Elephas maximus indicus: one gene and its partner. Each later gene encodes a partner of the first gene's protein in a complex. Links are inferred from orthologs where the notes say so. Each region holds a gene or a part of one and is shown on either strand. Other genes may lie near its edges.

What was found.
Region 2: the proteins of CNNM2 (region 1) and ARL15 are in contact, whole or in part, in a crystal structure (PDB 8F6D), measured with the Homo sapiens proteins. The link is inferred for Elephas maximus indicus from reciprocal best matches to the Homo sapiens genes CNNM2 and ARL15. Residues at the interface, in NP_060119.3 of Homo sapiens: Asn490, Val492, Pro521, Leu522, His523, Phe524, Val525, Phe526, Thr529, Glu537, Lys542, Ser543, Gln549; in NP_061960.1 of Homo sapiens: Tyr92, Ser94, Arg95, Gln98, Gln128, His129, Pro130, Gln131, Cys133.

What each region holds. Positions count from the first base shown.
Region 1 is NC_064834.1:54,432,813-54,448,292, reverse strand, and holds the start of CNNM2 (metal transporter CNNM2), read right to left. Parts: upstream 6,579-15,480; 5' UTR 6,390-6,578; coding exon 4,769-6,389; intron 1-4,768.
Region 2 is NC_064820.1:57,614,712-57,629,597, reverse strand, and holds the start of ARL15 (ADP-ribosylation factor-like protein 15), read left to right. Parts: upstream 1-9,433; 5' UTR 9,434-9,544; coding exon 9,545-9,592; intron 9,593-14,886.

The DNA of each region.
Region 1 (15,480 bases):
AACTCTTCAGACATGGATTGGACTGGACAATGGGTTGGGGAGGGATGCTGGTGAGGAGTGAGCTTCTTGGATCAGGTGGATACTTGAGACTATGTTGGCATCTCCTACCTGGAGGGGAGGTGAGAGGGTGGAGGGAGTTAGAAGCCGGCGAAATGGACAGGAAAAGAGAGAGTGGAGAGAGAGAGCAAGCTGTCTCATTAGAGGGAGAGTAATTGGGAGTATGTAGCAAGGTGTATATAAGTTTTTATCTGAGAGACTGACTTGATTTGTAAACTTTCACTTAAAGCACAATAAAAATTATTTTAAAAAAAATTTAAAGAGACTGCATGGAGTACACAGGGGCAGAGTTGTAAAGGAAGCTCATTAGAAACCAATTATTATACAGGTGTCTACAAAAAATGTAAATAAAATCAAGATCAAAACACAAACCTGAGTTTGAGTCACACTTCCAACACACAGAGATTAAGAAACCAAGAGTAAGATATTTTAGCTATATGAAAAATGGTTGTAGAGTAGTCCATTCAAGTAGCATGCCAGTACAGTATGTTACTATAAAACATTTTCAAAATGAATCTTGATGCTTTGACATGGAAAAAAACTGGAAATAAAATTCCTTTGATTTTGGATCATAGGGGCTAAAAAATTGATTTGTTTTAATGGCAAAAATGGGGACACCAACTGTTATGCATGGAGCCCTGGTGGCAGAGAGATTAAGAGCTCAGCTGTTAACCAAAAGGTTGGCAGTTCAAGTCCACCAGCTGCTCCTTGGAAACCCTATGGAGCAGTTCTACTCTGTTCCATAGGGTCGCTGTGAGTCGGAATCAACTCGACAGCAATGGGATGGGAACTGTTATGTATAACTTCACAGATGCACTGGGTTTAAGGCCATATATGCTTGAATATGTTTTGTATCTGTTGTCCAGAGGTAATATTTTCACCAAAACCAAAAACCAGACTCATTGCCATCCAGTTGATTCCAACTCATAGTGACGCTATAGGATTTCCCAGGCTGAAATCTTTACGCCAGCAGACTGCCATATCTTTCTCTTGCAGTGTTTTTCACAAAAGTCCGAAATTCACACTCAGTAAAAGAGAAACGTATCATGAGGAACAAGGGAGCCAGTACACTATAGAGGTTGAGAGTTCAAGCTCTGGTGTCAGACATACTTCAGTTAAAGCCCCAAATCCAGAACTTACTACATGTCCTTGAACAAATCATTTAACCTAAGCCTCAATTCCCTCATTTTCAAAATGGAGATAATACATCATTCAGCCATTGTAAGATTTAAACAAAGTAATTCATGTAAAGCATTCAGCCAGTACCTGCACAAGTAAATAACAATATTAATAATAGCAACATGCTAATTGTGAAACTAGCGTAATTACTGTCTTCCAACCTAAAGGTTAGTTAAAAGTCTTCTGGTAGGCAAAAAGCTCTAATCATTGAAAGAAGATATGCACATATACTTTTATAAAGACAGCTTTTCATTTTTTTCCATACTGCAAAATATTTCTACTCCTCCCTCCTCAGCAAAGAATAACTCGGATTAATTATGTACAGTTACATAAAAAAAGAAGAGCCCTGGTGGCACAATGGTTGAGCACTCATCTGCTAACTGAAAGATTGGTGGTTCGAACCCACCAAGTGGCTCCACAGGAGAAAAGACCTGGCAATCTGCTCCCATAAAGATTACAGCCTAGAAAACCCTGTGGGCAGTTTTACTGTGTCATACATTGGGCCACTATGAGTTGAAATCAACTCAACAGCACCGAACAACAACACGAACAGAGGCCCTGGGTGGCACAAATCGTTAAGTGCTTGACTACTAACCCAAAGGTTGGCAGTTGGAACCTACCCAGAGGCAACTCAGAAGAAAGGCCTGGCCACCTGCTTCCAAAAGGTAACAACAGCCTTGAAAACCCTATGAAGTACAGTTCTGCTCTGCAACACATGGGGTCACCATGAGTCAGAATTGACTGTATGGCATATATATAGAAAAGGATTCAACGCATTCTGAATTAAACAACAAAAAAAAAACCAAACCTGTTGCCATTAAGTCGATTCTGACTCATAGCGATCCTGTGGGACACAGTAGACTGCCCCCAAAGAGTTTCCAAGGAGCGCCTGGTGGATTTGAACTGCTGACCTCTTGGTTAGCAGCTGTGGCACTTAACTGCTATGCCACCACGGTTTCCACATTCTGAACTAGGAAAGTTAATTTTCAATGAGATCTGAACTGGTGATCTTATTAGTTGGAGGAGTTGCAGGGGGTATCGTAGAATTTATTTTTGTTTTTTGGAAATGGAAAAGTCAGCAGAAAGAGGGAAGAAAAAGAAGAAAAAGCCTTCAAACCACTACACAGGCTGTTATTCAATGGAGAAAAACAATAGAAGGTTGAACATCCACATTATTTCATAAATGAATTAGAAAATAAAGAAGCAAAAAAAAAATTAGGTGAAATACTCTAACTCACACATGAAAAAGAACTAATATAGCTGTTAGTAAGGTTAAAGCGATCAAATCCATCAAATAAAAATCCAAGAAAGAGAAAGTGATATATCAATTATGCCTATAGTTTAAGTAATGAACTCCATCCTTTTAAGATAATGTCTTAAATTTCCCATTTGTACCCAACAGTCTTTGCCATTACTCTGAATATGCCCCTAGCTTGAATGTGCCTTTACCTTGTACTATCTTTGAAGCCAAATATATCCTTCTGCTTTTTTTTTTTTTAAGGACAAAAATAAAATCTTACAGAGCATTACTTGTCTAGAGTTCTTAGAAAAATAAGAGCAATTCAATTATTTAAAGGTTAGATTTCAAAGAAAATACTGTTAACAAGATAGCTAATTTGGGGGGTAAAGAGGGGCCTCATGAAAATAAATCAACCATAGGAAAATTGTTCCAGGACAACTAAAAACAAATTTCAAAATAATGCAAATTTTGGTATTTTTGAATAGACATGATTAATGAGTAGTAAGGTGAATAAGTGAATTCTGAAAAGAAAAACAGAAGCGAAGAAAAGACTTCAGCAGGAGTGCAAACTAGTGTTATCAATCCATCATTACACATGCAAAAATTCTGAATAATAAAAAATCAGACAATGAACTGTTTTATCAACATTTGGAACTTAGCGATTGAAAGAAAATTAAGTATTTTAGAGAAATTTTCAAGCATTTCAAGCTAGCTTTCTATATTACACATATTACTGCAAAATGAATGAAGAAAGGGAGACTGGCTAGATGTTCTAATTAACAGCTTAGCAATCAAAGAATAATGACACTCCCAAAAGAAGCTTTGTTACCTAGAGAAAATGGACATTTCCTTTTTCCTGCCTAAGAATCCAGATGCAAATCACCAACCTCGGAAACACATTCTTCTCTATTCCTTTATCTGAAAATTACTGCAGTGTGACCCTGTTGAATAGAGGGCATCATCCAGCCAGAAAAATGGAATTAGGGCAACCACACACTATGCGTATGTTCAGATCATTACATTCACTGAGCTGTCACCAGGTACACATGGCCTTTTTCAGTGGGGAGGCCATTGTTGGTGATCAAAAATCTATTTGAAGAAGGAAAGCTTAGGTCATTAACGGTTACATACACACTTCGATACGCTGACATACACTAGCATCATAACAATTTTTAAAGCTTCAGCATCCCTTGGTTTTCAAGTAACAACACTAGCTATTTACTGGGGACTTTTTAATGGCAGAATTTCGGTAATAACACCATGAGTTGTTATTCACCTGATCATTACATGGTAAAACAAACAAACAAAAAATAGTACAATGTAAGAAAGGCAAGCAAATCAGACTCTGCACTTCCCTTCCCTGTTAAATACCGTGAACAGAGACAGTTGACTTGGATACATACTTCAGTTTACCAGGTGATCAAGGTTAAAAAGAACACTTCTAGACCCAAATGACTCAAGATATAAATAAACCACAATTAATTGAGGGATTCATCCCATTGTTAAAGGCTCAAGCTTCTGCCAAAATCACTCTTGGTTTGGGAAATGTTTTAGGTAAATTTAAACAAACAATGCAGCAAGTTAAACAAGACATGCTAACTTCCTAAAAGATTAACTTACCCCTAGTCTTTCCAAATTATATATTAATAACTAACCTCAATTTTCAAAAATCTCTTTTCCAGCTAAGGCAAGTCACACCCAAATGAGTGAACTGTTTTGGTGGTACCCACCTTACCCTACCCCTACCCCCCAAAGGCAGACGTCAAATCTTCCCCACAGGTCGCCAGACAACCAGGAACCGAAGCAATACGAAATGCACTTCCAATCTTTGAAACATCGACGTCGAGGCTTAAGGAGGAGGAAAATGAGTGTACTAGGTTTAAAAAAGCTATTTAAATGTTCCAAAAGCCTGCGATTAGAGCAGGTCAACCAAATGGCATCGCATGGCATTAGCCGGCCCCTACTTTCACCTACCCACTCAGAACGCAGGCAAATAAACTCGGCAGACCTCTCAAAACCTGAGACACCCAGGGGAAAAAAAGATGTATCCTGCAGAGCAATTACACTGCCTGCTTTTTGATGGCAGTCTTATGCTTTTAAAGAATCCAGGAGCGTTTACTAGTTCAATCCGTCCCCAAATCCACGCCACCCTTTCAACTTTACAATTGAGAGAGAGAAGGAGAAATTCCGGTCAACTCGCCTTGGGGGGTTGGTCTAAGGGTAGAGGACTTAAGTAGGGAGAAAGATGGAGAAAGAAAGAGCGAGCCAATGAAAGATATCAAAATTTCCCACCTTTCTTAAATTCTTCCAGCATAGCGTCCAACTTGGTGTCGTTGAAAACGAAGTGCAAGGGGTGGTTATAAAATTTGGTGATGGTTTTCAGGGGAGTACAGTCATCTGGGTCCACAAAGGCCAAGTCTTTGACAAAGAGGAGGTCCACGATGTTGGAGCGCTCCCCCTCAAATACTGGAATGCGAGTGTAGCCGCTCTCCATGATCTCCGACATCGTGTTGAAGTCCAGGATGGCCTCGCCCGTGATCATGAAGCAGTCCCGGAGCGGAGTCATCACGTCCTCCACCGTCTTGGTGCGGAGCTCCAGCGCCCCTTGGATGATGTTCAGCTCCTCTTTGACGAGGTCGTTGTAAGGATCGGTAACCCGGAGCATCTCCAGCAGTTTTTCCCGGTTATAGACGGTGCCTATCTCCTGACCCAGGACGCAGTCCAGCAGCTTGCTGACCGGGTAAGAAGCAGGAAAGGTCATCATCATGAAAAATTTGGTGAGGAAGATGGTGTTGGCACCTACGGCCAGGCCGTGCCGGGAGCAGATGGCCTGGGGCACTATCTCCCCGAAGATGACGATGCCGATGGTGGAGACCACCACCGCCACGAGGCCGGAGCCCGCGATGTCGTCGAGCAGGATGGTAAGCGTGGTGTTGACCAGCACGTTGCCCAGCAGCAGCGAGCACAGCAGGTAGTTGCCCTGCCTGCGCACGGGCTCGATGCGCTTAGCGTAATTCTTCTCCTTCTCGGTACCGCAGTTCTGCACGATGCGCAGCTCCATCGGGTCCAGTGCCATGAGCCCCAGGTTGAGGCCGCTGAACATGCCAGACAGGCACAGCAAAAGCGAGATGAAGATCACCTGCAGCCAGAAGGGCAGCAGAAACTTCTTCTCCTCGCCCACGATCATCTTCGTGTCCTCGCCGTCGTGGTAAATCCACGTGGTCTCAGCCCACGGGGGTGGTGGGAGCCCGGCCACCCCGGAGCCGCCCTTGCCCCCGACGGTGCCCCCGGCTGACCCCGGGCCGCCGGCGCCCAGGGCCGGCGTGGAGAGCGACGTGCACAGGTAATAGGACTTGCTCTTCTCCATTTTGCGCAGCGGTTTGATCTCGATCTCGATAATGCCCGAGGTGCGGCGGTTGAGGATGATGTGGGGCAAGATGATGATGTCTGAGGTGCGGATGCCGCAGCGCTGGGGGCCGCTGTCCGGCTCTGGCGGCGCGGGGCCACCCAGCCCGCGCTCGCCGGGGCTGTGGCGCCGCCGCTCGTGCTCGGTGAAGGCGATGCGGGACCACGTCTCGTTGTTGATGTTCTGCCCGTACACACGCAGCTTGACCCGGGTCCGCTCGCTCACCCGCAGCGCCCCCCCTTCCATGAACGACACGTCGTTCGTGTCCTCCAGCCTCAGCCCGATGATCACCGTCTCCTCGTTCTCGCTCGCCGCGGCGCAGCCACCCCCGCCGCAGCAGCAGCTCAGCAGCAGCAGCGGCAGCAGCCGCCCCGCCGCTGCCTGCAGGACCCCCCGGCCGCGGGCGCTGAGGCTGCGGCGCGCCGCCATCTTCCAAGTGGGCAGTGCGGCGGCTGCCTGCCCGCCCGCCATGTTTACTTCGGGTTCACAAGCACCACAGCCAATCATGGGGTAGCTGCTCCAGCTGTGGCTTCATGCTTCCCACCCGGCGGCGCGAGCGCAGACACCCGGCCCTGGGAGAGACTGCAATAGAGCGTCTGCGCCCAGTGCTCAGCGGTCCGCCTCCCTGACTGACACTGACCCGGCCTCGGCCAGCTGAGGAACCCCTAGGCTCGTGGGAGGAGTAGAGGGGAGGGTAGGAGGGCCAGCCGCTCCCGCGAAAGGCAGGTCGCCGAGCCAATCAAGAGCGGGTGCCCGCCCTCCCAGCCAGGGGGCTGGAGTGGGGGCGTGGCCGTGCGCGGCACGGCGGACCAATGGCAAGGTAGGCGGGCGGGGAAATGGGTTGCCACCGTCCCCCTCAGCACGCCAAGTTTCCAGCTGAAAAGCGCGTGACTCTTGTGTATGTGCGAGGGGAGGAGGTGTGGCCAGCCGGAGCCCGATAGCCAGTCAGAAATTAGAGCTGTAGAAAGGGGGCGGGGCCTCTGGTCCAGTTGCCAATGAAAAGAAGCCGTCAACGGGGCTGGCGCTCGCTGAGGGGTCTCAGTAGTAGATCCCCGCGCCTGCTGTTGGCCTGGTTGGACTGATGCCCTGCGGTGCGAGGACCCCGGTTTTCGCTGCACCCGGTTGCTGGCCACCCAGGACATCATGCCGGTGCAGAGCGGATGCGCCTTTCTGCCACCGGTGCCCGAGAATCAGATTTGAGTTGGGACAGCTTAAAGCGCACGTAAATCCCAAATGAAAGCAGGGCACCGGCCGCGACCCCGCGCGCCCCCTTCCACCACCTGTGCACGCAGCTCCTCACGGGATAAGCGGCGGCCCGGAGGCCCCTGCACCGCCACGGACCGCCTCTTCTCGCGCCTTTCTTCCCCCTACCTGGACGCGCGAGCTCCACGGCTCGCGATCAAGTGGCACCACCTGCCGGCCGTACGGGCAGCCTGCAGTGCTTTCCAGGTCTGATGCAAACCCCGAAAGGGTTAGAAAGTTAGAGTGGGGCAGTTTCCCAAACTTTCTAGTCTTAAGAATCACCTCATATTCCTGATAAAAGTACATATTTCCTGGATCCCATCCCATACTAAAGGGGAAAGGGCCAGAAATCTATTTTTAACAAGCACCCTGGCAAGTCTGGGAAATGAGAAGGGACAGACATCCCAAACGAACCCATAAAGGCGCCTTCTCAATCACACTGACCAAACCCTGCTAGGTTCATAGTTCCCTCTGGGAAAAACAAAACAGAGACCTAACTCCCCGTGACTCCCAGCCCCACTGCTTCTGAAGGAGACAGCAGCAGAGTAACTCCCAAATTGATCTTTTTCTCCCAATGTAAACATCCAAAAAATAGCTTCCCCCTCCCCCCGCCTTTTTTTTTTTTTTTTAATATTCTGTAAGAACATTATCTCCCCTTCTTGTAAACAAATGTTCCTGATTGATTTCTGGTAGGGATGACTGCAGTGGCACCTCTTCTACACCTGTCCCATTCTCTCCTCAATCCAGCAACCAGGCTGGTCTTGTTATATCACATAACTCTACGGTGGCTTCCCACCTCATTACAGTAAAAGCTAGAGTACCCACAGTATCCCACAAGGCCCTAAAGGGTCTGCTCCCTCCTCTTACTTCTCTCACCTCATCACCTGCTGCTCCAAACATGCCCTTCCAGCTGTTTCTCAGTCACTCCGGGGCTGCCTTTGCACTCCCTGCTGGTTTTCTATGCCTGAAGTCTCTTCTCCCAGATGGCAACATAGCCTGCTAGTTCACCTCCTTCAGGGCTTTACTCTAAAACCATCTTATTTTAACCTTGCAAGCCATACTCCGTATACTCCATGTCTGCTTTTTTATCTTCAAAGCAAAGGGAGCTTTCTAATTATTAATTTGGTTTATTGTCCATCTCCTTCCACTAGAACATAAACTCCCTGAAAACAAAGATGTTGTCTTGTTTTGTTGACTGCTATATCACCAGGGCCTAGAACAATGGAGGCATTCAAAACAATATTTGGTAGATGTTAAAGAAATGAAAGAATTTCTGTTCCAATTATTTCAAGTAATGTCTCTTCCGTTTCTAGCCTTGCTTCCACCACCCCTAATTTTCATACAACTACATTTGAAAAAGAGGTTCAGATGAAGAAAACCAGATTCACTGACTTGGCACCTGTTTGTAAGAGTGGCATTATGGAAGTCTGGGGGAAAAAATGGCATTTTTAAGGATATCTGACAAAGGTTAAAGTCAGCTGATTGGAAATGAAACCACTTTACCTTCTTCAAAAATGAGAACAAGTGTGTTTAAGGGAGCTGAGAGGATGATCAAGGCTCTCAAGTGCTGAACAGACACTTTCAGAACAGGAGGGTGGAGAAGAGGGGGAAGGGAAGAGCCTGCCAAACCTACAGACATTTCCTATGCATTTCAGAGAAAGAACAGTCAGGGAAGTGTGGCATTCAGCAATTTAGAAGCAGGGCACTGGTGCAGGCTCTGATGACTTCTGGGGGCTTCCCAACCTGTCTGTATGAACACAAAACAAGGTCCACACATGCTTTTAAAGATCTTTTTTTAAATCCCGGGGGGAGGAGGGGTCAACAAAAACCCTGGATTCTGATCATATTTTGCCTCCTTGAATGGCGATTGCTGAATGGTTGCTGCAGATGTCTAATCCTAGTTAGGCCCTGACTTTGTCTCACCTTGAGCAAGTCATTCAGATAAAGCCCAAACCTCCTAGCAAATGCCTTCCCTACCTAACCCTCTCTTGCCAGAGTCCTTTACTAGAAACTCGGAAGGGCAAGAGTGACTGTTAAATTCTCTCATCTGCAAAGGATAAGCTCCTAAATCTGCGGTTTCAGGGACTTGGGAAGGTACTACGTCTAGAGCTAAAAGTCTCTAGAAGACTTTTAAAGATCGTAGGTAGAACACCAAATAGCTGACACATTTTGTTTTTCAACCTAAAGCTCTAAGTTTATAGAGAAGTTTTTTTTTCTTCCAGAAAATTACCTAGTTGTGGAAAAGTATTCAAAATTAATTGTTTCAGTGTAGTTATTAGATGCCATGGAGTCAACTCCAACTCATATCTATCTCATGTATAATAGAATGAAACATTACCTCGTCCTACGCCATCTTCGTAATTGTTAGTATGTTTGAGTCCATTGTTTTGGCTGTTGTGTCAATCCATCTCATAGAGGGTTTCCCTCATTTCTGTTGACCCTCTACTTTACCAAACATGATGTCCTTTTCTAATGGTTGGTCTTTCCTGATGATGTGTCCAAAGTAAGCGAGTTGAGTGAAATTTTAATCACACCGAAGCACAAGGTCTTCTGAGGAAACACAGGAACTAAGCAAATGCAGGAGTTACCCAAACTTTGCGAAGGGTCAAATCTGTTTGCCCTGAGAGGGATTTCTCAGAAGCAACACTGCCTACTTGTTTAAATATATAGAACTCTTTTAGCTAAAAAAAGCATTTGTCACAACAGTTAGCAAATAAATAAAACAGAACAAAGCCAGTGATGCCATTTACCTCCTCTAGAGAACTTTTTGGGCTTTTTATTTTGGGCTTTCCCATTTCCATCCTTTTCTAGATATTTTCTGGACATAGTTACTGGGAAAGAAAGGAAAACATGGCTTTTTGACATAGTTGTGAGGAAAGCTTCCTCCCTTGACAAGGGTCCACACTCCTTGGGTGCCACCCTTCCAGGGAATTCCAAGTCTTGGGCCCTCAGGTGCCCAAATGGGAAGTAGCGAAAGGGGAGCCACCTGGTGGGCCACCCTTCCCCAGTGCCTTGCTGATCTTCTTTGCTAGCCCATGATGGGTCACTTCTTCCCTCTTCTGTCTCTACAAAGACACCTAGTTTCCTCCTTTTCCCTGAAGGTGCAGTATCCCACTGAGGCCTGGCCTTGGGAGCTGGAGAGCATCTCACATCCTGGCACCCTTCTCCGTGGGACTGGCTTTTCCTGAACCCCCAATGGCGAGGCCCTAAGAGATCTCCTGAGCACTGGGCTGTCACCCACTCCATCTCTCCCCTTCTTCCTTGATCCTTCTCCACTAGTCAGAGAAGAACATTTCTGCAGCTAAAAGCCTACTGTTTGCCAGGCCCTGGAGCTGTGGAATTTTCTAGAATGTTCATTCTGTCTCAGTCTTCCTCTCTGTCCCAGCCTCTGTCTCAGCTTTGAACAAAGGTGTAAGAAAGGTTCTGATCACTGTTACTATAAATAACACTCAACACAAGTCATGACTGTAGGGAAAATTTTCACTTCCATACCTTTTAAATGTTGAACCATGTGAATACTGCTTATTCAAAAGTCTAAAAAACATTTGGGGGGGATGATCAAAAGAAGGGAGACAAGGAAGACTCCGACAAGAGGATGGTAACTCAGAAGGACCTGCAGGAGAACGAATAGGTCCTGAATGTCCAATTCTGGGTTCTTCCATAGGTTTCAAATCTGCATAGATCTGGTAGCAGCAATCTAGCTTATGATTACTACTTTAGTCATAAAATACCAGGTTTCCCATACCAGCTGAGTTCATTCCCTAAGTCTTTTTTCCACATCCTCTGAAGCTAAAATTCTATTCCAATAATCCCCATGCATAGAAAAACAATGTCAGACCCCAGTGGAAAAAATTCTGCTCCTATTTTTAGTTCCTCTGAGATATCTATTGTATTTGTTTGTTTTATTTTTAAAAATCACTGAAGATTTGTTTCTCCCCATTTATTAACGCCACATTAACTGTTTTCCTCTTTAAGTTTAAATACATTTGTATTTTATTTCCCACCCCATTTCTTTTTTTCCCCCTTTTATTTATTCATTTATTAAACTAAAATATATTGTGTATCTAGTAAGTTCCAGACACTGTGCTGGGCATGGTGAAGCTACAGTCTTGAATCAGAGGGTACCTCAGAAACTTACTAATAAGGAGTTTAGGAAATGTATACATAAACAACTACATAATGCAGAGTACAACATCAAATATCTTAAAAGGAAGTACGAATAAAGAGGGAGGACTGAGGAAAGCTTCATGGTCTTTGAGCTTGTCCCTGAAGAACAGGTAGGTTTTAGATATGCAGACATAAGACAGCAGTGTGATTAATGACTTTTGTGTGTGGCCTTTCTAGCCATGGTCTTGTAACTCCCACTCAGGTGATTGTGTGATAAGGTAATTGTGGACTACCAACAGGGTTGGTCAGTTTTGCCTTAAAAGAGAGCCAATCCCAGAGCAGAAGGGGGGCCCACGACCACCAAGGAAGGAGAGACCAGGAGATACCCGGCAACGTGGTGGGCTTCTTGGCCTGTGGAGAGAGAAAGCTGAGTGCCCTTGGGCAGAGACTGAGGGCCAGGGAGAGGCATGTCTGTGAGCACAGCTGAGGTGAGGCTATCCTGACGGAACACCTGTATCCCCAGTGTTCTTGAGCTTGAATTGTAACTGTTGCTTCCCTAATAAGCCTCATGGTTGTGAGTATGGTTTGCATAGCCGTTACAATGAATTATCAAACCCAGTAGAAACTGCTGTGGAAAGAACACTTGGTGTCAGAATTGGTAGAGATAGCCGAGAGAGCAGGCTTGTCTGGCCTCCACCTCATGGGAGTCAGCCTTGTGCTGTTGATCTTGGTTCCCCTCCCTCCTTGTGAAGTCAGAGGAGGTCAAACTCTGCCCCGATGCCGTTTTTACAAAGAGCTATTCCAGGAAGCGATTGAGAGATAAAAGGAAAAAATATTTTAATGGAAGGAAAAGTGTGAGGTGAGGCTGGAAAGGGAGCAGCATTTCTGAAACAAGCTGTAGTTGAATTTGGCCCTATGACCTACAAAGAAGAGCAGGAATAATGTTGAAAAGCTGGTTGGGGTCAGTTTGTGCTGGGCCTTGAATGCCAAGTTTAGGAGTTTAGATTTCATTCTGTAGGCACCTCTACCCATTGCTGTTGAGTCGATTTCAACTCGTAGTGACCCTATAGGACAGAACAGAACTGCTCTATAGGGTTTCCAAGGCTGTAATCCTTACGAAAGCAGACTGTCACATCTTTCTCACACAGAGTAGCTGGTGAGTTCAAACTACCCACCTTTTTGGTTAGCAGCCTAGTGCTTAACCACCATGCCACCAGAGCTCGTTCTGTAGGAACCCAGGACCTATAAAAAGTTTCAAACAGAAGAACTGTATAATAGGAAGATTAACCTGACAGGTACCAGTGCAGTGATGCTGGGCCGTGCTAATAACCTAAGGAGGTTAAGGGAACTCCTGCCACTCAAAGCAGACACACGCCTTCACAGTTTACAATGCACTTTCTCATTTTATCGTCTTGGACTGACCTTCACAATTAGGACTAAGGGATATACCACTTCTCCAGCCACATGTAGGACAATGAAACAGATAACGCCACAGGAACTCCCAGAAAACCAAGATAAGACACCACACCCTCAGTTTGCTGCTGCAGTCTCTGTAGTAATAATTGTGAATCTTAGCACAAACATCAGGTTTCCCAGGTTGGCCTGGACTCCTGGTTATATAGGTCACCCACTGATAGACGTTTTTAAACTTTCAAAATTTTTGACATATAATAAACATACATTGTTGTTAGGTTCCATCAAGTTGGTTCCAACTCATAGGGACCCTATGTACAACAGAAAAAACACTGCCCAGTCCTGGTTCATCCTCACAATCATTGTTATGCTTGAGCCCACTGTTGCAGCCACTGTGTCAATCCACCTCCTTGAGAGTCTTCCTCTTTTTTGCTGACCCTCTCCTTGACCAAGCATGATGTCCTTCTCCAGGGACTGGTCCCTCCTAAGAACATGTCCAAAGTATGTGGATGAAGTCTTGCCATCCTTGCTTCTAAGGAGCATTCTGGCTGTACTTCTTCCAAGACAGATGTGTTCATTCTTCTGGCAGTCCATGGTATATTCAATATTCTTTGCCAATACCATACTTTAAAGACATAATTCTTCTTCAGTCTTCCTTACTCATTGTCCAACTTTCACATGCTTTTGCAGCATATTTGCCCAATGCAATGTGTCATTTGATTTCTTGACTGCTGCCTCCATTGGTGTTGATTATGGATCCAAGTAAAATGAAATCCTTTACAACTTTGATCTTTTCTCTGTGTATCATGATGTTGCTTACTGGTCCAGTTGTGAGGATTTTTGTTTTCGTTATGTTGAGGTGTAATCCATACTGAAGGCTGCAGTCTTTGATCTTCATCAGTCAGTGCTTCAAGTCCTCTTTGCTTTCAGTGAACAAGGTTGGGTCATCTGCGTATCGCAGGTTGTTAATGAGTCTTCCACCAATCCTGATGCCATATTCTTCATATAGTCCAGCTTCTCGGATTATTTGATCAACATACACATTGAATAAGTATGGTGAAAGGATACAACCCTGATGCACAACTTACTTGACTTTAAACCACACAGTATCCCCTTGTTTAATCTAACAACTGCCTCTTGGTCGATGTACAGGTTCCTCATGAGTACAATTCAGTGTTCAGAAATTCCCGTTCTTCCACGCAGTCACATGCCTCTGCACAGTTAATAAAACACAGGTAAACATCTTTCTGGCATTCTCTGCTCTTAGCCAAATCCGTCTGACATCAGCAATGACATCCCTTGTTCCACGTCCTCTTCTGAATCCGGCTTGAATTTCCAGTAGTTCCCTGTCAATGTACTGCTGCAACTGCTTTTGAATGATCTTCAGAAAAAAAAAAAAAATTAATTGTACAGCAATATTGGTACCTTTTAACATGCCTCAACAAGGGTTCACAAAATATATTTAACTGAAATCTTCCTTTCTCAAAAAAATATAATCCCTTCACAAAATAGAATAAGCAGCTGTTAGTTGGGGGAGCTGCATTTAAAAATACATGTGCACTTACATATAAATAAACTACCTGAGCTGAAAATGCCTTCAGATGTGAGGCAGACAATTTTTTCTATAAATTTACTATCTAATTAGTGTACCTCTTAAAATATATCTTCTAAGCAGTCTTAAGCATTTAGGTGAAACTTTCTCCTGGCAAGAGATAAGCATATATTTTCCAAAATAGCAATTATTTTCATCCCTGTAACTTGTTCTGATCACACATTGTTGCAACAGAGATTCCTGGAAACATCTGTAGGAGCTTGGAGGATTTATGGGGGTAAGAGTTTCCATTACAAAAAGAAACCCAGAGAATCTAACTTTTCCTACAGATGTTATTACAAAGCACTGGAACAGTGACATTTGTGATTCCACAGTAAAAATCTTCAACGCCCTTTATCAACCAGCATTGTTTTGGTTTTGGTTTTGACCAGAAGATTTGAATAGCCTGACAGACTAATTTCAAGAATGAGGATGCAGTCCCAGCAGTTTAGAGAAGCGGGTTTGATCAATACTGGCAACATACTATTACCCAAGGCAGATCGAACATTTTCTCTCTCTTCAGCAAAATTTTACTTGTGTGTAATATTAATGATATTGTTTGATAATTTCCACATTTTGTTGGATCACCCTTCTTTGGAATGGGTACAAATATAGATCTCTTCCAGTCGATTGGCCAGGTAGCTGTCTTCCAAATTTCTTGACATAGATGAGTGAGCACCTCTAGCGCTGCATTTGTGTGTTGAAACATTTCAGTCGGTATTCCATCAATTCCTGAAGGCTTGTTTTTCACCAATGCCTTCAGAGCAGCTTGGACTTCTTCCTTCAGTACCATCATTCTTGATCATATGCCACCTCCCAAAATGGATTTGAACGTCGACCAGTTCTTTTCGATACAGTGACTCCGTGTATTCCTTCCATCTTCTTTTGATGCTTCCTGCATTGTTAATATTTTGCCCATAGAATCCCTCAGTATTGCAACTCGAGGCTTGAATTCTTTCTTCAGTTCTTTCAGCTTGAGAAATGCTGAGCATGTTCTTCCCTTCTGGCTTTCTAGCTAACTCCAGGTCTTTGCACATTTCATTATAATACTTTGTCTTCTCAAGCTACCCTGTGAAATCTTCTGCTCAGTTCTTTTACCTTATCGTTTCGACATACATAAAAATGCATGAAACGTACATGCACAGTATAATAGCTGGCTACATAATTTATCATCTCAAATAGAACCCCTGAGAGTGAAAAAGGGTACTATTAATAATTAAGCCAGGATACCAGACATAAACCAGC
Region 2 (14,886 bases), on another chromosome or scaffold:
AGCCTCCATCATGAAACTTTAGGGAATTGGCAAACAAGATCCAAGGAGCAGCTGGTGAATTCAAACTGTCCACCTTTTGGGGAGGGGGTTAATAATAATCTGCAGAGACTACCACCCATCTATCCATCTGTCAGTTTGTTGTACCATGGTGGCTTTCATGTTGCTATGATCCTGGAAGCTATGCCACTGGTATTTCAATGCCAGAAGGGCCATCCACATTGGACAGGTTTTAGCAGAGCTTTCAGACTAAGGCAAACTAGGAAGAAAGACCTGGCAATCTACTACTGAAAATTAGCCAATGAGAACCCTATGGATCACAACAGAATATTGTCCAATACGAGCCCCCTGAGCTGGAAGACACTCAAAATACACCCCCCCCCAAAAAACAAACAAACCCAATATACACAGTGGCCACAAAAATGGACTGATGAAGATGGTACAGGACCTGGCAACATTTCTTTCTGTTGTACATGGGATTGCCATGAGTTGGAGTAAACTTGACAACAACTAACAACAATCTTCAGAGAAACTCTTCCTGGGTGACTCTTGACGCGTGACCATTTATACTCGTTCTACATTTAATGACCTTGCCCATCTTCTATACCTTGGGATCAAATACTCTTCTTTCAAGTAAATATCTCATACCCAACTTTTTTCAACAACATAAAAGGCTACTATACACAGGGACTTCACTGGATGGGATACACAGCAATCAAATCAATTACATATGTGGAAAGGGACAATGGAAAAAGTTCAATATCATCAGTCAGAACAAGGCCAGGAGCCAACTGCAGTACAGACCATCAATTGCTCATATGCAAGTTTAAGTTGAAACTGAAGAAAATTAGAATAAGTCTACAAGAGCCAAAGTATGACCTTGAGTATATCCCACCTGAATTTAGAGACCATCTCAAGAATAGATTAGATGCATTGAACACTAACGATTGAAGCCCAGACAATCTGTGGAATGACATCAAGGACATCATACATGATGAAAGCAAAAGGTCATTAAAAGGACAGGAAAGAAAAAAAAGACCAAAATGGATGTTAGAAGAGACTCTGAAACTTGCTCTTGACCATCAAGTAGCAAAAGGAAGCAAATGGAAGGAATGATGAAGTAAAAGAGCTGAACAGAAGATTTGAAAGGAGAAGACAAAGTAAAGTATTATAATGACATGTGCAAAGTCCTGGAGTTAGAATACCAAAAGGGAAGAACACGCCCGGCATTTTTCAAGCCGAAAAAACTGAAGAAAAAATTCAAGCCTCGAGTTGCAATAGTGAAGGATTCTATGGGCAAAAAACTGAATGATGCAGGAAGCAACAAAAGAAGATGGAAGGAACACAGAATCACTGTACCAAAAAAATTGGTCAACATTGAATCATTTCAGGAGGTAGCATATGATCAAGAACTGATGATACTGAAGGAAGAAGTCCAAGCTGGGCTGAACACATTGGTGGAAAAACCAGGCTCCAGGAATTGATGGAATACCAATTGAGATCTTTCAACAAACAGATGCAACTCTGGAAGTGCTCACTCATTTATGCCAAGAAATTTGGAAGGTAGCTACCTGGCCAACCAACTTGAAGAGATTCATATTTATGCCCATTCCATAGAAAGGTGATCCAACAGAATGTGGAAGTTATCAAACAATATCATTAATATCACACACAAATGAAATTTTGCTGAAGATCATTCAAAAGAGATTGCAGCAGTATATCAACAGGGAACTGCCAGAAATTCAAGCCGGGTTCTGAAGAGGACGGTGAATGAAGGATATCATTGCCTGATATCAGATGGATCTTGGCTGAAAGCCAAGCATAACAATGATTTGTGAGGATGGCACAGGACTGGGCAGTGTTTTGTTCTTTTGTACATAGGGTCGCTGTGAGTTGGAACCGACTGGACAGCACCTCACAACAACAACACAAGGTAATCTTGTAGATTGGGCCCTGTCTCATTAACATGACTGCCTCTAATCCTGCCTCATTAACATTATAGAGGTAGGATTTACAACACAGAAAAATCACATCAGATGACAAAATGGTGGACAATCACACAATACTGGGAATCATAGCCTAGCCAAGTTGACACACACATTTTTGGGGGACACAATTCAATCTATAGTAGCACTCTTCCTGTCGCCTGACCTATGGATCTTAGGACAATAGCCTGCATACGTGTCCAGCCTGCCGCCTGACCTATGGATTTTGGATTTGCCAGTCCCCACAATCTTGTGAGCCAATCCCTTGAAGTAAATCTCTCTTTCTAAATACACACACACACACACACACACACACACACACACACACGTCACTGGTTCTCTAGAGAACCCTGCGTAAGACATGGTGCAAGGGCTATATGTAAAGCACTAAGCCAGGCTTTCAAGGGAGGTTCAGAAACACAGGTGTGGCAGACATGACAATGCATCATTCAAGAAAGGACTCCCTGCCTAATTTTGAGGAGTGTGCTTAGCTGTCAGTTCTTTAGGCTCTACTTCAGCCTTGGAGCCAAAGTTGGGCTTTTCTCTTCTTGGGATTGCCCCAACCAATGACTAAGCAAGGTGGTAGTATAACAGTCTAGCCATTTCTGTCCCATATTGACTGCTCTAATGGGCAATCTTTGGAGCTACCTGTAAGGCCAATAAAGACTTTGTCAGTTCTGTAAAATGTTCTTCTGGTGCCCCCTGACCAATCCTGGGTCTCTTCTTTCACAGGTTTTACTTCTTAATGAATCTTTTGCTTCCTGGAGAACTAAACCTGCAGGAACATGAACACAAGTAGTTCCTACCAAGGTCAACTGGGAAGAAAAGGAATGCAGAAAAAAGGATGAAATAGTGCAAACAGCATATATCATATGCCAGGAATGTTATGGATTATCAATTGTGAGAATGTAAAAGTTATGAGTGACCTCTTCAGGTCATTAGGGAAGGCAAGTCAGTTTGGTGAGCTCTACTTTCTAGAAAAAAGGAAATGGTTAGATCTTTATTAAATTATTCAGGTCCTTGGGGCATTACTATATTAAATGTCATTCCCTTGGACTTCATTTCCTAATGTGTTCTTTGTTAGTTCAGAGGAACTAAGGGTATGTTATAAGCTATCTCATTAAAACTGACTTTGAATCCAGCATGAACTGGTTTTTAAGATTTGATTATTAAAAATCAAAATTGGCCTTGCAATATGACACTGTATGTGATACATCTCAGTCTCCAAAGCACCTTTATATTCCAAATGGTAATTTTTTCATTTTTTGAAATAAATCACCATCAAAGAAATATGTATTTTATAATCCATTGAAGATACATAGCTGATTCTTCTCGTTTACTTTGCTGATTTTTTGTAAACTGGTTATCAAATAGGGCTTAGAATCTTGGTTAAATACTTCTAAAAAATTTGGCATGGTATTCCCTGTCATGCAGGATAAAGCAATTCAGATGTTTCATCCCAGAGAAGGTTCAAAACCACAATAAAGCACTGTACAATCAAAATATTTTTGGAGATTTTATCTTTCTATGTTTAGCTTGGAATAGAAAAAAAAGGTTATTAATGGAGTTCAAGAATTTGTGGAGAGTGAAGAACTAATCAGACTATAATACGCAGGTAAATAAAATTCTTTATAAGGAAATCGGAGTCCTGGTTGCTCAGTGGTTAAGAGCTTGGCTGCTAACCAAAAGGTTGACAGTTTGAATCCACCAGCTGCTCCTTGGAAACCCTATGGGGCAGTTCTGTTCCGTCCTATAGGGTCACTATGAGTCGGAATTGACTTGATGACAATGAGTTTGTGTGTGTGTATATAGTTTTTTTTTTGTTTGTTTGTTTATAAGAAATCCACAGTTAAATGTTGAAGGAAGGAAATAATATTCATATTTAAACCAGTTGGTCTAGAAAAAAATTGTTATGAAGTAGTAACTTTAGCTATGGGCAAAGAAGTAAAGGAAATGAGAGGAGAGGGTCTCAAAAAAAGTTAAAACCTTGGCTGTGATTGTCTTGTGTTATCTAGTGCTGCTATAACAAAAACACCACAAATGAGTGGTTTTAGCATACAGAAATTCATTTTCTTACAGTTTAGGAGGCTAGAAGTCTGAATTCAGGGTGCCAGCCCTAGGTAAAGGCTTTCTCTCTCTGTCAGCTCTAGAGGAAAGTCCTTGTCACTTTAGCTCCTGCTTCCTGGTTCCTTGGACACCTCCATGTGTCTTGGAATCTATCTTAAGCCCATCTCTCCTCTGCTCACTTGTTTAGTCTTTCTTATATCTCAGAAGAGACTGACTCAAGGTACACCCTACACTAATCTTGCCTCATTAATACGAGGGTAAGTAAAAAGTATTGTTACTAGCATTCCAGTTCATACATGCATGGGTTTATTCCAAACAAAACATGTTTAAACATGTCTCCGTGATCAGTGGATGGTTGCAGACAAGTTTTCTCAGTAATATACTTGTCTTAGTCTCGTCAGGGTGACTTCAGAAAAAAAAAAAAAGGATACTTTTTGTGTCATGGGAAAAAACGATTTTGAGGTCAAGGCTATTATCAAATTTTTAACAAAACTCAGGTGGACATCTCTTCAAATCATTGAAGCTTTGCAACAAGTTTATGGGTATGCTGGCCCACATTAAAGTTTTTAGATGGATCAAGCATTTTAAGGAAGGTTGGGAAGACCTCAAAGATGAGTCAAGAGAGGGAAGACTGCTCAGAAGTTTATGGCGACTGTTTTTTGGGATTACAAAGGACACAGGACAATCGTAGAGACTTACTATGAAGAAGTTTTAAGAACACTGAAAACTGCATTGGTGAGAAAAAGGCCAGGAAGTTTGCACTGAGGGCTTTTTTTCCATCAGGACAATGCACCGCCTCATTCTTCAAGGGTAGCAAGGACTGTCCTATGAGAATTTCATTGGGAAACCTTACCCTGTCCACCCTACAGCCCTGATCTTGCTCCTTCAGCCTTCTTTTTTGTTTTCAAAACTCAAAGAACATTTAAAAGGAACACGATTTGAGTCCTTTGAGGATGCCAAAACTGCTGTTTTGACATGGTAAATAGTCACATGCAGAATTCTTCCGGGAAGGGTTAGAGAGATGGAAACTTCACCTTCAGAAGTGTATAGACCTAGATGGAGGATATGCTGAGAAACAATAGCTTCACATTTTGATATTTTTGTTCAATAAAGTTTTCTATGATTTTGTAGTAATGCTTTTTGGCTTACCCTCGTATAACAAAGACAACTCATTCTCAAATGGGATTATAACCACAGTCATATTAACAACACATATTTTGGAGGGACATAATTCAATCCATAACAGTGCTCAAAAGAAGTGGAGACCAAAAGTACAATAGAGGGAGATGACACACTTTGGGACGATAATCCTACTCACCTGTCAGAAGAGAAGTAACTGGATTGTATAAAGAGGGTTACAAAGGGTCCTGGGACTGCATTAAAAATTTTTAAGAAATCTAATTCTTTCTAAGATCGAGAGTTTATCCCCACTTTTCTGATTCTTTAGGTATTCATAGTGTGCTTGCCACTTTGGACTTTCAGGGAGGTATGTGCTTTATCTGCATATCATGATAAGATCAGTGTGGTAGCTGAACAACGGCTCCCAAATACGTAGATGGCCCAATCCCTAGGGCATCAAGTGTTGTATGGCGAGGTGACTCTGCAGATGTGATTAAGCTGTGCATCTTGGCATGGGGAAAGAGATGATTTTGGCTTTTCTCTACGGGCCTAAATGTAACAAGTGTCCTTATAAAAGAGAGGCAAAGAAAGACTGGGGGCAGTGATGGTTCAGTGGTACAATTCTTACCTTCCGTGTGGGAGACTCACCTGGCTAATGGACCTCATGTGCAACCACTGCTTTTCTGTCAGTAGAGGCTTAATAATGCAATTGCCCCATGAATTTACACACATTTTCTTTGGCACCAGGCAAGGGCAGGTCGAGGTAAATGAGATCAAGCCTTATTCAAGATGACAGTCCATTACTTGGCATTTAGTAGGTTGAATGAATGTACTCTAACCACCGTACACTCTCTTTTTTTTTAAAGTCTACACTAGAGTGATTACCAGGCTGCTGTAGCTACCAACAGATCAGCTAAGACAGCTGCTTCACACAGCGTGCAGTGTATCATCTGTTCATGCCAACACAATCAAGTTAGCCTCTTTCCTCTGCACAAGGGTAAAAACATTAACAGCCCAGAAGATTAACACCTAACTGGAAAATGTGCTCCATATGCAGTTTTGAAACTACAGATTTTTTACAAGGACACTTCCAAAATGCAATCTATAATTCTTTTAATAGTTACATCAAACACAAAAATTTCCTTGATGTCAGTCATAATGAACATAAAAATGGTATAGAATAAGGGAAAAACAGTGGAGTAGACTCTGGAATTTTCCTTGCACAAACTATTTCATTTCCCTGTTTTGGGCCCATTTATTAATTTCTGAGGCAGAATGAACAATGTGCAGCTTAATGTCATGGATTGAATTATGTCCCCCCAAAAATGTGTGTGTATCAAGTTGGTTAGGGCATGATTTCCAGTATTGTATGGTTGTCCTCCATTTTGTGATTGTAATTTTATTTTGAGAGGATCAGGGTGGGATTGTAACACCACCCTTACTCAAGTCACCTCCCTGATCCAAGGTAAAGGGAGCTTCCCTGGGGTGTGCCTGCACCACCTTTTATTTCTCAAGAGATAAAAGGAGAGGGAAGCAAGCAGAGTTGAGGACATCATACCACCAAGAAAGAAGCACTGGGAGCAGAGTACATTTTTTAGACCCAGGGTTCCTGAGCAGAAAAGCTCCCAGTCCAGGGGAAGATGGATGAGAAAGACCTTCCTCCAGAGCTGACAAAGAAAGCCTTCCCAGGAGCCGTCACCCAGAGTTTGGACTTGTAACCTACCAAAATAAATTTCTCTTTGTTAAAGCCATCCACTTGCGCTATTTCTGTTATGGCAGCACTAGGTGACTAAGACACCTAATGACATTCTGTTTAGAAGGACTGTCTTTCTTTAAGGTCAGTTTTTGAAGCAAAGGCAGAAGCCAGCTTCCCCTGAATGGTTATCTTCCCCTGCATAAACTGACAGGCCTCTCAAAATTCTGACTTGGCAGTAGTCAAGACATCATTCATCACTAAGGCAACAGACCAAAAGGTGTCTCTTTGCTAGCTTGCCCCCTTTATCTTACTAACAATATGTTTTATTCATGGAAAGGAGAAGGAAAAACAATTTCCTTTTCTGTTTGAATTATTTTTTGCTATCAAGTATGAGAGAACAACTTTTGCAATTACAGTAGCTTCAACCAACTGTACTGAAGGCTGTGTTGTTATTAGTTGCAGACGGACTCTGACTCGTGGCGACCCCATGTGTGCAGAGTAGAACTGCTCCGTAGGGTTTTCAAGGCTTTTGCAAGCAGCTCGCCAGGCCTTTCTCCAGAGACACCTCTGGGTAGGTTTGAACTGTCAACCTGTCATACAGCAGTCCAGCTCTTAACCATTTGTACCATCCTGAAGTCTGTGGGTTTATGGAAATCCATGATTTCCAGAATCCAGGTCACAACCTCTTCTAAACCTGCACGTGTTTAACAACAGAATGCCAAGAAAAATCAAAATTTGGTCTCACGGCTTAATGAAAATTAAATCTAGTTAGTGCCTGCATAGGGGGAAAGATCTTTTAGAATTTCTTCAGAAGTATTTTATTTATACACACATCCTTATCTGTAAATTGAATCAACAAAGTAATCTTGATAGGCATAAAGCCACTCTACACCAAGCTCTGTGCTGTGTATATTCAGTCTTCTAGTTCCTTCAAAAATACCCTGGGGGTAGGAATTCTCATTTTTCAGTTGAGGAAAGAGGTTCAGAGAGATTAGATAACATACTCAAAAGTCAGGTGGCTCATCAACCTTGTGCTCTTTCTAAGGGGCTGCACTCTCCCTGGTTTATCTGCATGGTTAGGCAAATTCCACTGCTACTTAAAAGTAGAATGGCTTTGGCAGCCCCAGACAAACCTATTCTCTGGAAATTCATTACCTGGGGATACAAAAAGGGAAGGTGTCAGGAGCCCTGGTAGCACAGTGGTTAAAGTGATCCACCGCTAAGCTAAAGGTCGTTGGTTGGAAACCACCAAGCGCTATGCAGGAGAAAGATATAGCAATCTGCTTCCATAGAGATTTACAGCCTTAGAAGCTCAATGGGGTTACTATGAATTGGAATCCACTGGATGGCTGTGGGTAAAACAACATTTAAACAATCAGGCGATCACTTCAGAAAGGTTTTAGTTGATGTTTCATTCTTGAAACGTTATTGTATGGAAGCTCTAATTATAATACAGATGAGAGCAATCCCCTTCTCCTCCATTCTCCTTAACGCCTTAGGGTCACTGTAATCACCTCACTCTGTTATGTTGCATGTTGTCTGGTATAGTGTAGTTGTTCATATACTGAAGCCCCAGTGTTCTTATTCAGCTTCTTACTTGATTCAGCTCAAAGCATTAGTGAAATCCCAATGCCAGTTTCCCAGTTATTAAAGAAACGCACAAGTCTCAAGTGCATCTCTCCATACATATTTTTTTTACCTTTTAAAATGACATGGGGTCACAAGTGTTACTTTACTCGGATCTTTTCGGAGAGCTTCTTTTTCTATTGCTCCTTTTATTCAGAGGCGTTGTATTTGTGCTCAGTGTAACTGGACTTAAAGCTTGCCAAAAACTGATGAGTTCTTCTTCCCAAGTGTTTGAGAATTACAACTGACAACAGTGAATCCCTAAACTTTTTTTCTTTCACATGGTGGACAGAGTTCTCAGGCAGGCGGCAGTCTGGAGTTCAGATAAGAGGGCGCCTCCTGTGTGTGTCGCGTGTGCACGCCCAGGGACATCAGGCAGCAGTTGTCCGCCTTAGCAGTTTCACAAGACGAAGGTGAGGCGGAGTCTTCCGGGTCCCGAATCCCGTACAGTTTTGCCTGTTCACGAAGTACGCTCTTCCACACTTCTCGTCCCGGCAGTACCCGTTTCGCGACGGCAGAGCCTTTAAGAAAGCGCTGCCAAAAGAGACATTAAGTGTCTGTGGCTACCTCGCCTCCCACATTGCAACGCTTGCTTCCTACTGGGGAGGGCTGGAAGGGACTCCAAGATTCCCTGGTACAGGAGCACAGAGCTCTGCTACGCTTTATCTAACCAGGAGGCTACAGAAGCACACACAACTCCGGCGGTGGCAGCACCTGCCGATTTTCCGCTCTTCCCGACTGGCTCTTCGGCTTGCGCCGCCCTACGCCTGCCCTGCACCCTCCGAACCGAGACAAGCAGCGTCGCCTCTCCCGCGCTTCTCTCCAGCCCCCCGCACTGGCCTGCCTTTTATAGGCCCCGCAGCCAATCAGCACTAGCCTTTCCTTCTTCTCGCGCGACCGGCCAATCGCCGCGCCCCTTGTGTAATCTTCGTCTTCTCGGCTGCTCTCGGCTATTTTCGCTGTTGCTGGCTTTTCAGGGGCTGCTTGCTCGCAGCCAGAGACGCTCCTTTTTTTTTCCGGGTTCGGAGCCGTTCCGGATGCTTTAGACTGCCGGATGTCTGATCTCCGAATAACTGAGGCGTTTCTGTACATGGATTATCTGGTAGGTGCGGGACAGGGGTGGCATGTCGCCTCTCAGCTTCCGACGTGCCCCATGTCCCTCCGCCTGGAGGAGCAGCCTCTTTGCTTTTCTTTCTTTGGGATAGGATGCCTTTGGGGTTCTTTCTCCTGCAGCCAGCTGAAAAGCTGTGCCCGGGACTCGGAGAGGCGGCCGTCGGGGCCGCGGGGCAGCAGCATAGAGGGGATGGTGGGACTGACAGGTAAAGGTGCGGCCGGGGCCAGCCGGGCTGCGGGGCGAGGGTCGCACTGGGGCTGCCGGGGAGATGGGGCCGCGGCGGCGGGGCGTCTGCCCGCGGTCGGTGTCTTTGCTTCACTCTGCTCTCCCCGTAAGGGACTTCTTTCCGGGGAAGCAGGAGTTTTCCGCTTTCCCTCCAGCAGAACTCCAGGTACTATTAAAGAGCTATAACCAGAATGGCTCACTAAGTGCCTGGCAGCCTTGGTCATTTGGTTGTTATTAGATCCCTAAAGCTATGACCTCGGTCGCGGCGGGGTTTTAAAAGAACATTACCATAAAGTAGACGGGAGTAAACTCCATCGCAACCCGGCCAGAACAGGACTGGGCAGGCATTGTCCCACCGTTCGGCTCAGATCGTGGGTGCATGCTGCTTTTACCCCGTGCATGGATTGGGTCCCTAGTGTGCTTTTAGGCCAGGCTTGTACTGAGAAGTTTAGGTGGGAAAAGTGTCAGCGCAGAGCTGAGACTGAACATTATTTTAAAAAATGATTTGTGCGTTTGTGCAATTATGCAAGTACCATGTATTGTTCCAGAAATTATATTTCCCCAGAGCTGCATGTCTGTGGTCAAGGGAATCGGCATTTACATTGGCTGTGTCAAATCCTATGCAATTACTATGTTTACCGTGTGAGCCAGAACCGCTATTGCAAGGCTGAGTTGAAGCAGAGTTAAAAACACTGGCCCTCCTGTCATCTTGTTGGACACATGCACGGGTTTTCTACTGCAGGCTGGCCTGGCAGAGATTTGCCAGTGCCTTCTAGGAATTACACTTTAGGCTGTACTAAGAAAGACTGTGGATGCTTTCCTGATAAAGGAATGTTGGACAATGACTGGCTTTGTAGTGTTGTTAAGTGTACTTGGGCTTATTTTAGTTTACATGAAGAATATGTTTCCCCTAAAGCTGTATGGCTCTCCTGAGGGAGGATCATCACTGCAGTTAAAACTTGACCTTGTAGGTGGAGCGCTCACCAGAGTCAAAAATTCCGAGTTCAAATTCTGTTTTGTTGTTCTTTTGGTGATGGCACTAACTTCGTCTGTTTGTGATAGAGGGACGGTATCCACCCACTACCATTAAGCGTATTATCTGATAAAAAGCATGCTGTAAAATGTAAAGTGCCCTGTAGGTTAAGAGAGTTGCCTAATGTGACTGAAAGATTATTTTCTAAGTTAAATAACTGGTTAATTTGTAGCTTGTCTTGTAAAATACAGCGCTATGCCCAAATTAAAGCCAAAATTATTGAGGATAATTGCCGAGTAGGAAAGAGCAACATTACCCCTACTATTCAAAGCTAATTTTGGATACTTAGTTCCTAAAGAGAAAATCAAGTGGTTCTGATCATTTTATTAATTTCTTTTTGCACTAAGTGTGTTTTAAATGTACAAATTGCATCAAAGCTATCTTTGAGGTGCCAAACCTACCAAAACACTTAGTGAAAACAATATTGAAACACTGGTTAATTATTCAGATTAACCTCTAGATAAACCAAAAACCGCCAAACCCAGTGCCATTGAGTCGATTCCGACTCATAGCGACCCTATGGGACAGAGTAGAACTGCCCCATAGAGTTTCCAAGGAGGGCCTGGTGGATTTGAACTGCCGACCCTTTGGTTAGCAGCCGTAGCACTTAAACACTACGCCACCAGGGTTTAGATGAATGTTTGTGGGGCTCCAGTTTACCCAAAAAGTAGGTTAATTTCTTTGCCAGCTTACTATCAGTTTGGTGTCAAAATAATGGATCCCAAACTTGACATTCTGTCGTGTTTTACCTGTCACGCCCCCCACACTAGGTTAGCTTGTTTTAAAAAATCATTATTTTGTTACCTTAACTTTGCTTTTTTAAAAAAATGACAAGTGTGGTGTAACATTCCCATAAAAAATAACAAAGCAATGTTGTTGTTAGGTGCCATGGACTCATTTCCAGCTCATAGTGACCCCTCATACAACTGATCCTGTGGTCCTGCACCATCCTCACAGTCGTTGTGCTTGAGCCCGTTGTTGCAGCTACTGTGTCAGTCCATCTCATTGAGGGTCTTCCTTTCTTTCACTGATGCTCTACTTTACCAAGCATGATGTCCTTCTCCAGGGACAGATCCTTCCTGACAACGTGTCCAAAGTATGTGAGACGCAGTCTTGCCATCCTTGCTTCTAAAGAGCATCCTTGCTTCTTCCAAGACAGATCAGTGCCTCCTAAAAACATGTCCAAAGTACATGAGAGGTTCTTACTATCCAGACTTCTAAGGAGTGTTCTGGTTATACTTCTTCCAAGACAGATTTGTTCATTCTTCTATAGGCCACAGTATATCTTTGCCAATACCCTAATTCAAATGTGTCAGTTCTTCTTCAACAAAGCATTATTTGGATGATTATTGGAGGTGAGGAAATAAATCATAAAGGAAACAGTTCAGTGTTTGAGTGTGCAAAGTATCTCATATCAAAAGGTTTAAGAAGATCCTTAAGCATTAAGCCCAGTTTTAACTGAGATTGGACTGAAAAAATAAAAAACACACACAAACAAAAACACTCCTCCTGAGGTGATCTTTTTGTATTTACGTTTTGCCTACTAACTTTCAGAGAAAATGATATGCCACAGACCATTGCTTTCTTCTTTCAGATTGACTTGTTTCCTCATGCAGAACCTTTATGATGGTTATGAAAAACCCATTTCTGAAAAATAAAAACTTATTTGACAGTATCTGTGATCTTATTTTAGAGTTAAACTAATTCCCAGGTTCTTTTACTTGTTGTTATTAGGTGCCATCAAGTCAGTCACTCATAGTGACCCTGTGTACAACAGAACTAAATACTGCCTAGACCTGCGCTGTCCTCACAGTCATTGTTATGCTTGAGCCCATTGTTCCAGCCACCGTGTCAGTCCATGCCATTGAGGGTTTTCTTCTTGTTCACTGACCCTTCTACCTTACCAAGCATGATGTCCTTCTCCGGGAACTGGTCCCTTCTGATAACATGTCCAAAGTATGTGAGATGAAGTCTCGCCATCTTTGTTTACAAGGAGGGCTCTGGCTGTACTTCTTTCACTTACTACTTAGAAAAAAGGCTTCTTTTCATTACAAGTTTGATTCTTCAGATTTTGCTGAGTTTGTGGACTAGAGTAAGTGCCCTGTTTATACACTTGACAGGAATAATGGTGTGTGTCTTCTTTTTCTTAAATCCGTGTTTGACTTTCTTGCTGCTGTTGGAAGTTGAAGGAGGGAGCTTTGTGTATGCATTGTCCATTGTTCTTTGGACTGGATATCATCACTTAACCTTTTCATGTGGAGGAGAGCAGAAGGGAAGAAAAGTGAGAGAAAGATGGAGGTGCTATTTTTAACAGCTTTTAATAGGATTGAGATCCTAAAACAGATGAAGAATCTATTTCAGAGGTTGCTATTGATTTCTTAACTTAAAAGAAGTACTCTTCTTTAGAGATGATAGATAAAGTGAGGGACAGTCCCTTAATGTTTAAGACAGGGTTTTTAACTGTTTGGCTACTAACCAACTGGTTGGTGGTTCAGATCTGTCCAGAGACACCTAGGAAGAAAGGCCTGGTGATCTACTTTCAAGGTCACAGCTGTGGAAACCCTGTGGGGCACAGTTTTGCTCTGGAACACATGGGATCGCCATGAGTAGGAATCGACTCTATGGTAACTTTTGTTTTAATGCATTTAGTTCAGGGAAATATGTGGTAACTGGCTAATCCTAAATAATTACATGTATCACCCACCGCCTGCCTAGCATGGTACTGGCGCGTGGTAGGACATTTATTTGTTGAACTGAATGGATATGACATGAAGGGACAATTCTACTTTTTCTCACCAGCTTCTAAACTGAGCCAAGATAAAATCTATTTGGATTAGGCGTTTGGTTTTGTGGAATGCAGAAGGTATTCTTTACTCTTAACTTTGAGATTATCAGATGTGATTTGTTTAGCCTGGGTGGCAATTTAAAAATCAAGATCTCTTTTTGCCAGTTGATAAAGGAATTTTCCTAGGAGAACACACACCGGCCCTTCCTTTTTTTTCTCCATAATGAGGTTTAAAGGCCGTGTTCATACCTGTCAAGCCTGAAAGGAAAGGTTTTGTTGCTGTTCTAACAGGCAGTACCAGCATCTTGCTCCATTTCTCTTCTGACAGGTAGAATTAGTAAGATGATGTGCAGAGCTTTTTGAATAAGGTAGGAGAACATAGTCCAGTTATAATGAAAGAGAAAAACATGTTTAACCAGGTTTTCCTGGGAGGTTGGACAAGATCAGCAACGAGGTTCCTTTCAGTTCATAAGTTTCTTTTTATTCTTGACTTACGGTTGGTTTGCTCTGGATTTCACCTTTTTCCCCCTTCTGCCATCAAAAAAACAGCAATAAGATTTGGTATATTTCCGTATAATGCCTATGATGATTAAATGAGAAAGTGATTTATAGACAACACATTGCTTTTGAAATATAAAATGTTCATGTATTGTGATTTTATTGCTGGTATTTGATGTTATTCTTATGCCTCCCATGGAATGACTACTGCCACTCAGTGGTAAGTATTAGGCTACCTTTTAAACTATTCTCTCAAAATATGGAAAGATTGGGGTTTGGTCATCAACAAGCAGGAAATCATAAGACTCTCATGAGGATTGTTTAGTACCTATAAAAATAAGTCTTCATTCTGTTATTTTCATTAATCCACTGAACAAATATTTATTGAACCCCTGCTTTGTGCATGACCCTAAAAGTCATGGGTGATGAACCCCTACCTATGACGTCCTTCTTGGCCACAAGGCTGGCTGGAGCATGGCTGTACGGGGACCTGTGGCAGGGCAGGTCAGGCAGGGCACCTAAGGGAGGATGGCAGCTTGTGATGCACTTCTTTGCTTTCTGGTATTTTTCTCTCATATTTTATATGTCTTATTTTTTTTTATTATGAACTAAAATGCAACGTTAGACTTGAGAATGTGACAAGTAAAAATGCTTGTTTAATCTTGAATTTATTGTTGTTGTTAGGTGCCATTGAGTTGGTTCTGACTCATAGTGACCCTGTATACAACAGAGCAGACCACT